Canis lupus familiaris: one gene and its partner. The protein of the gene in region 1 interacts with the protein of each later gene in a biochemical or structural test. Links are inferred from orthologs where the notes say so. Each region holds a gene or a part of one and is shown in the gene's direction. Other genes may lie near its edges.

Region 1 (5,619 bases):
CTTTTAAAAAATAAAGATTTTATTTATTCATGAGAGACAGAAGCAGTGACACAGGCAGAGGGAGAAGCAGACTCCCCACAGGGAGACAGATGCGGGACTTGATCCCAGGACCCTGGGATCACAACCTGAGCCGAAGGCAGATGCTCAACCAATGAGCCAGCCAGGTGCCCAGCAATCACTTTTAAAATATGGTTTTGATCAGTTTTATACTACATTTACTGTTTGCCATTTACATTCCTGTCTTTTGTGTTGGCAAATCCACATATTTCCATTTCTTATTTAAGAACTATACAGTATTCTGTTTGCATGAAATTGATATGATTTCACTCCCTGTTTGAGAGTATGGGTGTTGTTTCTGCTTTCACCATGAAGGATACAACCTGTGGCTGTTTAATTCTTGTCAATATATCCAAGATCTTCTGCCCATAATCACTTTAAACCAGAGTGGTGCAAGGAGGTAAGAACTTCATTCAGGGAAATAACCACGAAACATGAGCATGTTAAAGGTTGCTAATGGAAGAATTCAAAAGAAGTTTATGCTAAAATACAACTGCAATGTGCTTAAATGAAGAAAAACATGGAAGATACCTGACATGGAAGTCATCTTAAATGTACATCCTCCCACCCCTTTATAGTCCAAATACATTATTTGGTAGGTTGATTTAAATTTTCAGGGGAGGGACGCCTGGGTGACTCAGCGGTTGAGCATCTGCCTTTGGCCCAGGGCATGATCCTGGATCCCGGGATCGAGTCCCACATCGGGCTCCTTGCATGGAGCCTGCTTCTCCTCCTTCTGCCTGTGTCTCTGCCTCAATCTCTGTGTCTCTCATGAATAAATAAATAAAATATTTTAAAATAAATAAATTTTCAGGGGAAACTGGATGACTCATTCAGTTAAGCCTCTGACATCAGCTCAGGTCATGATCTCAGGATCCTGGGATCCAGCCCTGCTGGGGTGGGGGAAAGGACTCTGCTTGTGGTTCTCCCTCTGCCTCTCCCCCTGCTCACTTTCTCTCTCAAATAAAATCTCTAAAAATAAATAAGTTTTCATATATTAGTCACTGTGCTAGACAATGATGGTGAGTCAAGTAGACATAGTATCCCAGCCCTCACGGAGTAGCTAGCCTGGTGAGGAGAAGGGCATTTATGAATAGGTCTCATGAGCACTGTTGAAGCACAGGAGTACATGACTTCCATAAAGTTCTTATATTGTACAGTAAAGGTATCAGCCCCTGTATGCTCAAACAGGTCAACATAAGGAAGTGATTAACTTCTAGCTTAGGTTCTCCATCATCCTATATTTGTACAATTCCTAGCCTTTCCAATTGGGGACACCTGGGTGATTCAATGGTTGAGCATCTGCCTTCAGCTCAGGGTGTGATCCTGGGGTCCTGGGGTCTGTCTCCCCACCGTGAGCCTGCCTCTCCTGCCTATGTCTCTGATAAATAAATAAATAAAATCTTTTATTTTTTTTAAATCACATACTGTGGTGGATTAAGTACTAAAGCTCCCAGCAGTAGCCCAGACTACCAAAGCAGTGATTATTGTATCTAGACTGCATATGACCAAAAGAATAAAGCATAATAGGTCCGACCTGATCTAATGTGTGGGTGAAATATCTAAAACATGGTACACAGGAAGGTTGGAAGATAGCAGAATCCTAGAACTAGGAAAGGCCTTTGAGATTCTTAAAGTCCGTAACTTGGGGTCCACTGACTTCTGGGACCCTAGGAAGTCCCTGACGTTAAATTGTCTCTCTGCCCTTTTTTCTTCAGAAAGGTTGATGGTTTTCTTCAAGTCCTCAAAGGAGCCTATGACCTAAAAAAAAAAAAGAGAGAAGAAGAAAGTCCTTGATCTAGTTCCAGCATCCGGAAAAAATGGAAGCTCGCTGTGTGAATCACAGCCGAGGTGGGTCCCAGGCCCACCCGTGACCACCTCCGGGTGCCTCTGCTACTCCGGGCTCCAGCCCGCTCCTCGCTGCGGGTCACTGGGCTGGTTCTGTGTCCAGGGAGGAAGCGCTCTGTCGGGGCTGGGAGACGACGAGCCAGAGATGCTGTCGCCGCCGGCGGTGGGGGCGTGGCCTAGCGACGTCACCGGCGTGAAACCGGGTCTGAGCTTGCCCTGTGACCCTACCCCAGGCACTTCCCGGCTCCGAGACCCTGTTCCGCTGAAGCTCGCGGTGCTGGGCCACGCCCCTGAATAAGGCCTGGGGCGGGGCTTGGAGAGGCCACGCCCCTGGCCCGCCCAGCCCCACGTCGTGCGTGACGTCCGCAGACGCCGAGCGAGTTGCCGTGAGGTCATCGCCCTCCGCCCGGCTCGAGGGGCGAGGCCTGTGGCCTTCACGTCAGGGGCGGGGCCTGTGGCCACGCTCGCCTCCCTACGCCCCGCCTCCACAGGCGCCTCCTCGCGGGCCGTCCGGCGCGTCACGTGACGGGTCGGCAGCGCGGCGGTTGCCGTCAGCTGATTCCCCCGGTTGGCGGCTGAGGCGCCCGCAGCGATGGACTTTCTCCTGGGAAACCCGTTCAGCTCTCCGGTGGGCCAGCGCATCGGTGAGTCCCCGGAGCGCCGCCTCGCCCCGCCGCAGGGCCCCGCACCCAGCCTCGGTCCCCGGGGGGCCCCGGGGCGCCTCCAGGTCCCAAGCCACCCTCTGGAGGGAGGCTGGGAGAACTAGGCTGGCGTGTCTCTCCCCGACCTGGCCCCGCCCAGCCTCCCGCCCACCTTGATTGACAAAAGCCGCGCTCCACTAGGAAGCCTCGCCTTGTGGTGGATGCCTAGGCTAGCCAATAGCAAAAGAAAGGGGGCGGGTCCTGGTGGCCGCGGCTCAGCCAATGCGTGGCTGCTGGGGTCCCGAATCCGGGGAGAAAGTTTCGGGGGCTGAAGGGGCAGCGTGGTTTACGGCCCTCGGGCCACTGGCCCGTCTCCCTCGTCCCTTCCGCAGCCCGGGTCCGGCCGCCGGGGCCTGGCCGTCTCCCTCTTGGCTCGCCAGGCTCTCGGGACACAGGTACCGGAGAGGGGCTAGAAGCCCATTCGCCCAGGATCCGGAGACGCGCTTGGCGTCGGGGCCGGCGACTTGCGGGGACCAGGCCCGGCAGCCCTGCTGCGCGCGGCCCCCGGCCGGACCCTGGCGATCCCGCCAGACCAGCAGCAGCCGGCGGCACGGTCGCAGGCTCCCGAGCTGGAAGCGACCTCAGGAACCTCCTGATTCCGCCTCCTTCGTTTCTCGTAGGCGGGTGGGCCAGGCACTCTGGCCGGAGGCACAGGCTCACTCCGAGCCCCGGCCTCCCGACTCTTCCTGCCCTCTGTTGACATCGCCGCCTCTGTTTCCTCCTCACCTATAATTAGGGGCATATTAATAGCCCCTGCTTCCGTGGGGTTGTTGTGAAGCTTCAGCTCCTTAATAATTGTAAAGTACTGGGAACCGTGCCTGGCACATGGCCCTGCTAATATAAAACAAAGTGATAATATATATTTATCGTCATTGTTAGGGAGATGCCAGGAAGTGAGGGTCAGGAATCCCTGGAAATAGCTGTGTGGAGAGTCTCCTAGGTGCTCCTTGCTGTGCATCAGCACGGGGAGGAACCACAGGCCCTGGGCCACACCGCTAACACTTCCCCTTTGGGACAGCCTGGATGTGCCTCCCCGCATTAGGAAACTGTGATATTCTCCCTTCGACCTCTTGATGGCCCTTAGCGTTCAGTCTAGACTGGGAAAATTGGACCTTTTAGACATTTTTTCCTTTCTTATGGTCTTGGAAGCCAAACTTCACTTAACTGTCAACCCAGCTCTGCGATGTCATCGGCACCAAGGCTGTCAGTGGCTCTTGTGAGGTTTTGTAATCAGACTTCTCCAAGAGGAGAGTAGAAGTCCAGGATTAATTTGCGAACCAGAGCGCTCCTGGACCAGGGAGGTGAAGCTGCCCTCTGAGGAACACCCTCCCCACTGCCTGCCACACACACACCCTGCAATGAGTCATTGTTTTGGAGCTGAAAAGAGAAAGTGGCTCTCCCCTCATCTTTATTTCTCCAACAACAGATACCACTGCTCTCATCACATGCCAAGTTTGAGACTTCCTACTTTAAAACAAAAAATTCTGACCTTCAAAGTCAGCCACGTTTGCTGAACCTTTGTAGAAAAGCTCACCTGGGCTCTGGGCTTTAGCTAGTCAAAAAAAAACAGCTTCTCTTCCTATCCTGAGGGTTGCCTGTCTGTGGCAAGAAATACTCTGTCCAAAGAGAATACTACTAAGTCATAATACTTCAGAGCCCAAACCAAATTTTACTCCTGGAAGGATCCTTACCCTGGGGGTCTTCTAACTCAGGGTTCTCATCGGAATTCCCTGGAAGACTTGTTAAAGACAGATGGCTGACTGGGCCCCACCCCAAGAGTTTCTGACTCTGTAGGTCTGGAGTTTGCCCAAGAATATGCATTACTGACAAATTCCCAGGTGATGCTAATGCCACTGGATTGGAAACCACATGTTGAAAACTTCCATTCTGGCCCATCCCCTTCATTTTACACAGGAGAAGACAGAGGCTGGAGAAAAGGTGGAGACTCTGACTCACCCAGGCCCCCAGTGAATTGGTAGTGAAGTGTGATGAACTCCCCAGAACCAATGAAATTTGAACCAAAGCTGAAGAGGCTCTCAAAGTAGAATTAAATGAAGAATAGCTGCCATTTGAGCAAATGCCTTCAGTATTCCATGTTTTCTCTTTTAGAGAAAGAGATTGCCTGTGATTATTGACGACCTAGTAGTTCTGTAAACTATAGTAGTAAAATAATCTCAAGGTTGCCAACTCCACCCCCCTATTGTGAGTAGGGCCCTGTAGAATTGGCATCCCTGAGCACAGCGAGTTCCAGTGGTACTTATCAGGGATGTCACTCAACTCATAAAGCTCTCATCCACCCTCATACCCAAGCACTTTCGTGGAATGCCTGCTCCAGTGTGCATCCTTCAAAGCTCAGACATTGTCACCTCCTCCCTGAGGCCTTCCCTGACCCCCTTCCTGACCCCTTCAGATCCAGCTGTTGCTTTCATGCTCTTCCATCATCCCCATTCCTCAGGCTTCTTCATTCTCTGCCTTTGGGCTCTGAACCTCTATTTCCTCCTGGGTGGAATGGTGGCTACAAGAGCATCTGCCTCTCCGGGTTGGGTGGTAGTGAGAGTGAAGCGAGGACCACCCCCCCACCCCGCCCCGCCCCGGGAGTGCCTGGCACATTGTGAGTGAATTAGCTCTTGCTGTCCTCATCATTGTTTCTATTATTTCCACCATCGCACACTAATGGAGCCCTGTCCCATTCTGTTAGTAGTTGCACATATGTGTCTCCCCAGCTAAACTAGACTTCCTAAGAGCAGGGACTGGACCTTACTGGTCAGGACCCTTGGCACCTGGCATGGTTGCTAGCCCATAGTAGGAGGGAAGAAAGGGGAAAAAGAAAGTGACCTCCTGTGAGCAAATACCATGTGCCAGGGACCATGCTGGTACCCTGGTTATTAATATCCACGGTGACCCTATAAGGTTTTGCTGTTTTTTCCATTTTACCAGAAGTGTGAGAGAACATATCATCTCACAGCTACTCGGGGTCAGAATCCGGACCCAGGTTTCTCTGGCCCAGAGCACC
Region 2 (4,982 bases), on another chromosome or scaffold:
GGTGTCCCTGTTTTAACTCTGCCTCAAGGAGGTTCCCAGCCTGACTGTTGGAAAACAAGTCCTAGCTCCGTGTGACTTTACTCATAAACATTTCATTCATTATACGGCAAATGCTTTCACAGGAGCACGTAACCCCAACTGTAGTAACTGAGTGAATAGTGTGTTAGAGGCTGTCAGGAAAGTGCTTTCAGGTCCTGAAAGTGCTCATTTGCTTCCTGGGGAACGTTCCCGTCTGACCCTATGTCAGGCAGCCGTGGCTCACCCGGGCCTTCCACCAAGACGGTGTCAGGATGTCCGTTTCGGTGTGTGCTGTGCACTCCTATGACCCCGTGATTATATTTGGTGTATTCCAGTCGCTGCCAGCCACCGTCATGATGCCGCCTCAGCCTGTGGTCCTGATGCCCACCGTGTACCAGCAAGGCGTAGGCTACGTGCCCATCACAGGTGCGTGCCACTCCCCATCCCCAGCACTGTCCTCAGGGGCTTGGAGTGCCGTGCGGAGGCTTAGGTCTGGATGTGACTCATGAGGACCTTTCCAAACGCAAGGGGTCTGGTCTGAAGCTTGAGTTTTTTATGTGTCTGTAGGATATAGAATATTTTTCCCCAGACTGTTGGCAAGTTGAACTTTTATGGAGGTGGAGAAGTGTAATCTCTGAACACGTTAGTGTGTGAGTTACTGTCTCGAAAGATCCTGCACTATGGGGCGAAGTGAGCTGTGAGCCCTGATGTTCCTGTTGTGTTTATTCGTCTTTGTAAAGTAACACTTTGTGGCAGCCTAGTAAAATCCAGTTGGATTGCTTTCATGCTTTTGAATTTTCAAATATTAACACCAGCCATTGGTTCGCTTCTGCTCTGTCTGTGATGGTAACTGGATTCCACTGTTCCCTGCTGCAAACAGCCATAAAACTGGGCATAACAGATGAAGCGGCAGCTTGTTCGGGCTCAGCAAGCAGGCCTTGCAGGACTGTGATCCCCGAGAGAAGGGAGGCAGCGGAGCCCTGAGTTACCGTGCTCTCTGCCAGAGGCGGTGTCGTATAGGGAGCTGGGTCGCAGCATGGTGCTGTGGTCGCATCGTACCAAAGGGGCTGGACTGGGGCAGGACACTGGCGCGCGGGGCTGGGGTGGCATGGGGCGCCCTGGGGTTTCCGCCCACCCAGAGAAGAGAGGTCTCGTTATTGTGCAGTTGTGGCTGGTGCAGGACCGGGGTGTTGCCTCAGGCTTACTTTCACCCTGACGGAGCCTAAACACAGCCCAGCAAGGACGGGCACAGAGCTGGGAGGCTGCATCTACCTCTGAGGTGTTCACACCGGTTCCAGACTTTTGGGGAGAACTGCGGGGAAGTGTAAGCCCTGGTTGGGTCAGAACCAGCTGATGGGAAATGGCCTTGGTGATCAAAGAGCTGTGGAACAGCCAGGATGAGTTTCTAGAGAACGTCTTACCAAGTGAGAAGAAGGAGTCTCTGTAGAGATGCAGAAACTCCTCAGAAAGCCAAGGGGACGTTCGTGCCCCAGGAGAGCACCACGAGTGGGGAGAGCGGCTCGTGCTGCTGGAGCGGCTGCGGCTGGCCTTGGGGGTCTCTGCTCTGTGCTGATGTCTGCCCGAGGATCTTGTCCTTCCTTGCCCCTTCACGGCAGCAGTTTCAGGCTCTGTGTGACATTGTCTCACTCCCATGTTAGAGGTTTGAGGAGGAACAGGTGCCTTCGGGGGCTCTCCAAAGGTAGTGAGTGTCCTGGGGCAGCCGGAACAAAGGCCCATGGAGGCACCTCTGCTTCACACAGCAGAAATCTCTGCTCTCCATTCTGGAGGCCAAAGTCTAAACTCAGGGTGTGGGTGGGGCCCTTCCAGACCCTTCCTGCTGCAGCCTCCGCCCCATGACCCCATGGCCCCTCCTGGGTGTCTGTGCCAGCATCTGAGGTGCCCATCTAATCAAGACTTTGCTCAGGACAACCTGGCTCTCACCCACCTTCCAGATAAGGTCTCGCTCACACGTGCCCAGGCTGGCGCCTCACACATCTTTCTGAGGGGCACATTTGAGCTACAGGATCAGCAGCACGAGGACGTGTTTGGTTAACGGAAAGTCCATGTTCTCGGGAGATGAGATGTGTTTTTCTGGTTCCATAGTTTTCTTTGTGAGTCTTTGAGGTTTGTCTTAAGAGGTTTATTCTGGGAAAGGCCAGACTTCTGTATAAATGGAGACTTTGAACTTCTCTTTTGATGCATGTTTGTAAGCTTTGGAATAGTCAGCTACTCGCAGGAAGTGACCAAGGAGAGGAAGGAGCTTTTGCCTGGATCTCTTGAGGCCAAGCTGCCCACTGGCTCCTGTGTGTTTCCTACAGACAGGAACTTGTGCCAGCTGCCTGTGTTTGTGTGAAGTTTGTGCTGCTTCAGAATCTTCTTTGGTGTGAATAACTTATTTCCATGATCTTGTCAAGGTGTGCGTGCATGTATGTGTGTGCACATAGGTCTGCGTCATTGGTATGCATGTGTGTGTGGCACATGTGTGCACGTGTGATCTACAGCATTGGTATGCATGTGCTTGGCATGCATGTGCACACGTGTGATGTGAGGTGTGTGCATACATGTGTGTACATGTGTGATCTACAGCATTGGTGTGTATGCGTGTGTGGCACCTGTGTGCATATGTGTGATGTGAGGGGTGTATGCATGCGTCTGTGGACCCTGCTTCCGCAGGAGGGGTGCTGCCTGCAGCTGCTGCCCCCTAACAGGTGGGAGTCCCACGGGAGAGATAACCCTGGGGTGGGTTGAGAGCCTCCCCCCAGTTCTCTTGCACTGTGGGATCTGTGCGCTGAAGCAGTTCCCAGGAGGGGAGGGGGCCGTGGAGCCAGTGTGTGAAGGACGGCAGTGCCCACCAGATGCTGACAGTGCCGCCCAGTGTGGGAAAGCCCTCATGCTGCTGTCCTGCCCCATGTTCCCACCCATTCTGCAGATAGTTGACTGGAAAGTTGGGCTCTCAGCACCTCACCACCTTGACCCAGGATGGAACGTGCTCCTGGGTGTGTGCCTCGCTCTCGGGCTTCACGTGCTTGTTGGCATCAGAGGGATCCACCTGGTGCCCTGCCTGTACCATAGTCGCCACCTGATGTCTAGCTTCTGTCCCCTGTGCCATTCTGTTCTCTGACAGAATTGCTTTGTGGTCTTGGGTCCGTGAAAATTGGCATCTGGTATGGTATCATCCGGAACTTTGAAGGGACCACAGCGCAAGCAGCCTGTCCTAGCTCTGAGTGCGTGGTATAAACCTGCTGGGGAGGAAAGCTGTAGGAAATGGGGATGTGCGTGGAGGCTGTGGGCCAGGGGCACACGTCTTTGCTCCAAAGACGAGCTTGGCGTGGGTGCCAGTCCCATCATGTGTTCCCTAAACCGCGTCTTGTGGTTGCAGGTGTGCCTGCAGTGTGCAGCCCCGGTGTGGTGCCCGTGGCCCTGCCCCCAGCCGCCGTGAGCACCCAGCCCCGCTGCAGTGAGGAGGATCTCAAAGCCATCCAGGACATGTTCCCCAACATGGACCGGGAGGTGATCCGCTCCGTGCTGGAAGCCCAGAGAGGGGACAGGGACGCAGCCATCAACTCCCTGCTCCAGATGGGTGAAGAGTCCTAGAGCCCCGGCCGCCATATCACCTCGGCCCTCCCGACTTGCTGGCCCGGCCCCCTGCCCCCCATTCCCGTGAAGGAGCCCCGTGTAGCCTTTTCTTGGACGTCTGTAGTCCCAGTCCTCACCCTCGTTTGGGATGCATGTGGGTTGTCGCTTCCTGACCATGGAGCGCCACCATCACTCGGGTGTGGGTGTGAGTGGCTCTCCTCCTGGCTTCGCTGGGAGAAGAGCGGGCACGTGGGCCACGTCCCGCGTACGCACACTTGCCTGCCTGCTGCTTGGAGACATGTGTGTTCGAGTGCCGTGTCTTCTCCGCCGCACGCTGTCCCAAGAATGCTTTCTATGAGCAGCCTGCCTCTGCCAGCGCTTTAGAAAGTGTTGCGCGTCCTCCAGGTTTGATTAATGGCATGCAGTTATTTTACTTAACTGGAGTAATCTATTCTTTCAGGCACGTAGAGCATTTAACACCTAATTTGGGGTTATTTTTACGGCTCTCAAACTTAAATTCATGTTTTTCTGTTGACGCTCCTTGTTTGCAGTCCTGGGCTGCTCATCGGTATCCTGGGCGGGCTGACCTCTGTGTCAGCATGGCTGCAGAATGCACCGGATCCAGGGTGGGCCAAGCCCGGCAGCCCACCTGACCCCCCGCGGGCTCTGGAGCAGGGCCATCCCAGGCCCCAGGGACCCCATTATGCCTTTTCCTGCTGTGTCTCATGCCAACTTTGTGGGGTGTTACTCGAGGGCTTGCTGCTCCTCTTTCTGACCAGCTCTTGGAATAGAACCTGAAGAGTGGGTGTAAGAGGTGGTAGGTCCAGTGCTTTGTATCTGTTTATTAAAGGGTACTTAGGAACCGTTGGCTACTACTGATGTTAATTTAACTAAACGTACCAGTCCTGGGAATTCACTGTGGATGAAAGAAGTAATCATCTGGTGAACATTTCAGTTTTCCCAGGAGATAGGTGTGTGTGCTGCGCCGTGGGCTGCGTGGCGGCCATGGCCACAGGACTGGGACAGGTGGGGGGACACCTCATAAAAATCAGCAACATAAGAGGTTTGTCAAGTGCTGCTTCCAGCCCGCACATGGGCACCACACACTTGCCTTTGGAGAGGGAGTCTTAGCGCCATGGGCACCATTGGCCCCACCGGCGTGACTCTGCGAGGGGTCAGCATGAGGACTGGACTCCCATTTCGCTCCCCCCCCTGCTGCACACGGGGATTTCCTGTTGGTCGGAGGACGCTGTTGCTGCTGCTGCTGCCGCTGTTGCCGCCGCCGCCAGCAAATGCATATCAGGAGCCTGAAGGAACGTGTGCCCACTGCAGTGACCACACCAGGCCAGGGTTCTCAGTGAAGACTTGCTGCCAGTCAGTGGTTCCCA

Evidence for each region.
Region 2: the proteins of TOM1 (region 1) and TOLLIP form a complex in vitro, tested with the Homo sapiens proteins (3 studies listed by BioGRID and IntAct, with this or other methods). The link is inferred for Canis lupus familiaris from reciprocal best matches to the Homo sapiens genes TOM1 and TOLLIP.

Annotation. Positions count from the first base shown.
Region 1 is NC_049231.1:29,818,108-29,823,726, reverse strand, and holds the start of TOM1 (target of Myb protein 1), read left to right. Parts: upstream 1-2,390; 5' UTR 2,391-2,497; coding exon 2,498-2,549; intron 2,550-5,619.
Region 2 is NC_049239.1:46,008,555-46,013,536, reverse strand, and holds part of TOLLIP (toll-interacting protein), read left to right. Parts: intron 1-353; coding exon 354-444; intron 445-3,397; coding exon 3,398-3,612; 3' UTR 3,613-4,982. UniProt on the Homo sapiens protein: Component of the signaling pathway of IL-1 and Toll-like receptors. Inhibits cell activation by microbial products. Recruits IRAK1 to the IL-1 receptor complex. Inhibits IRAK1 phosphorylation and kinase activity.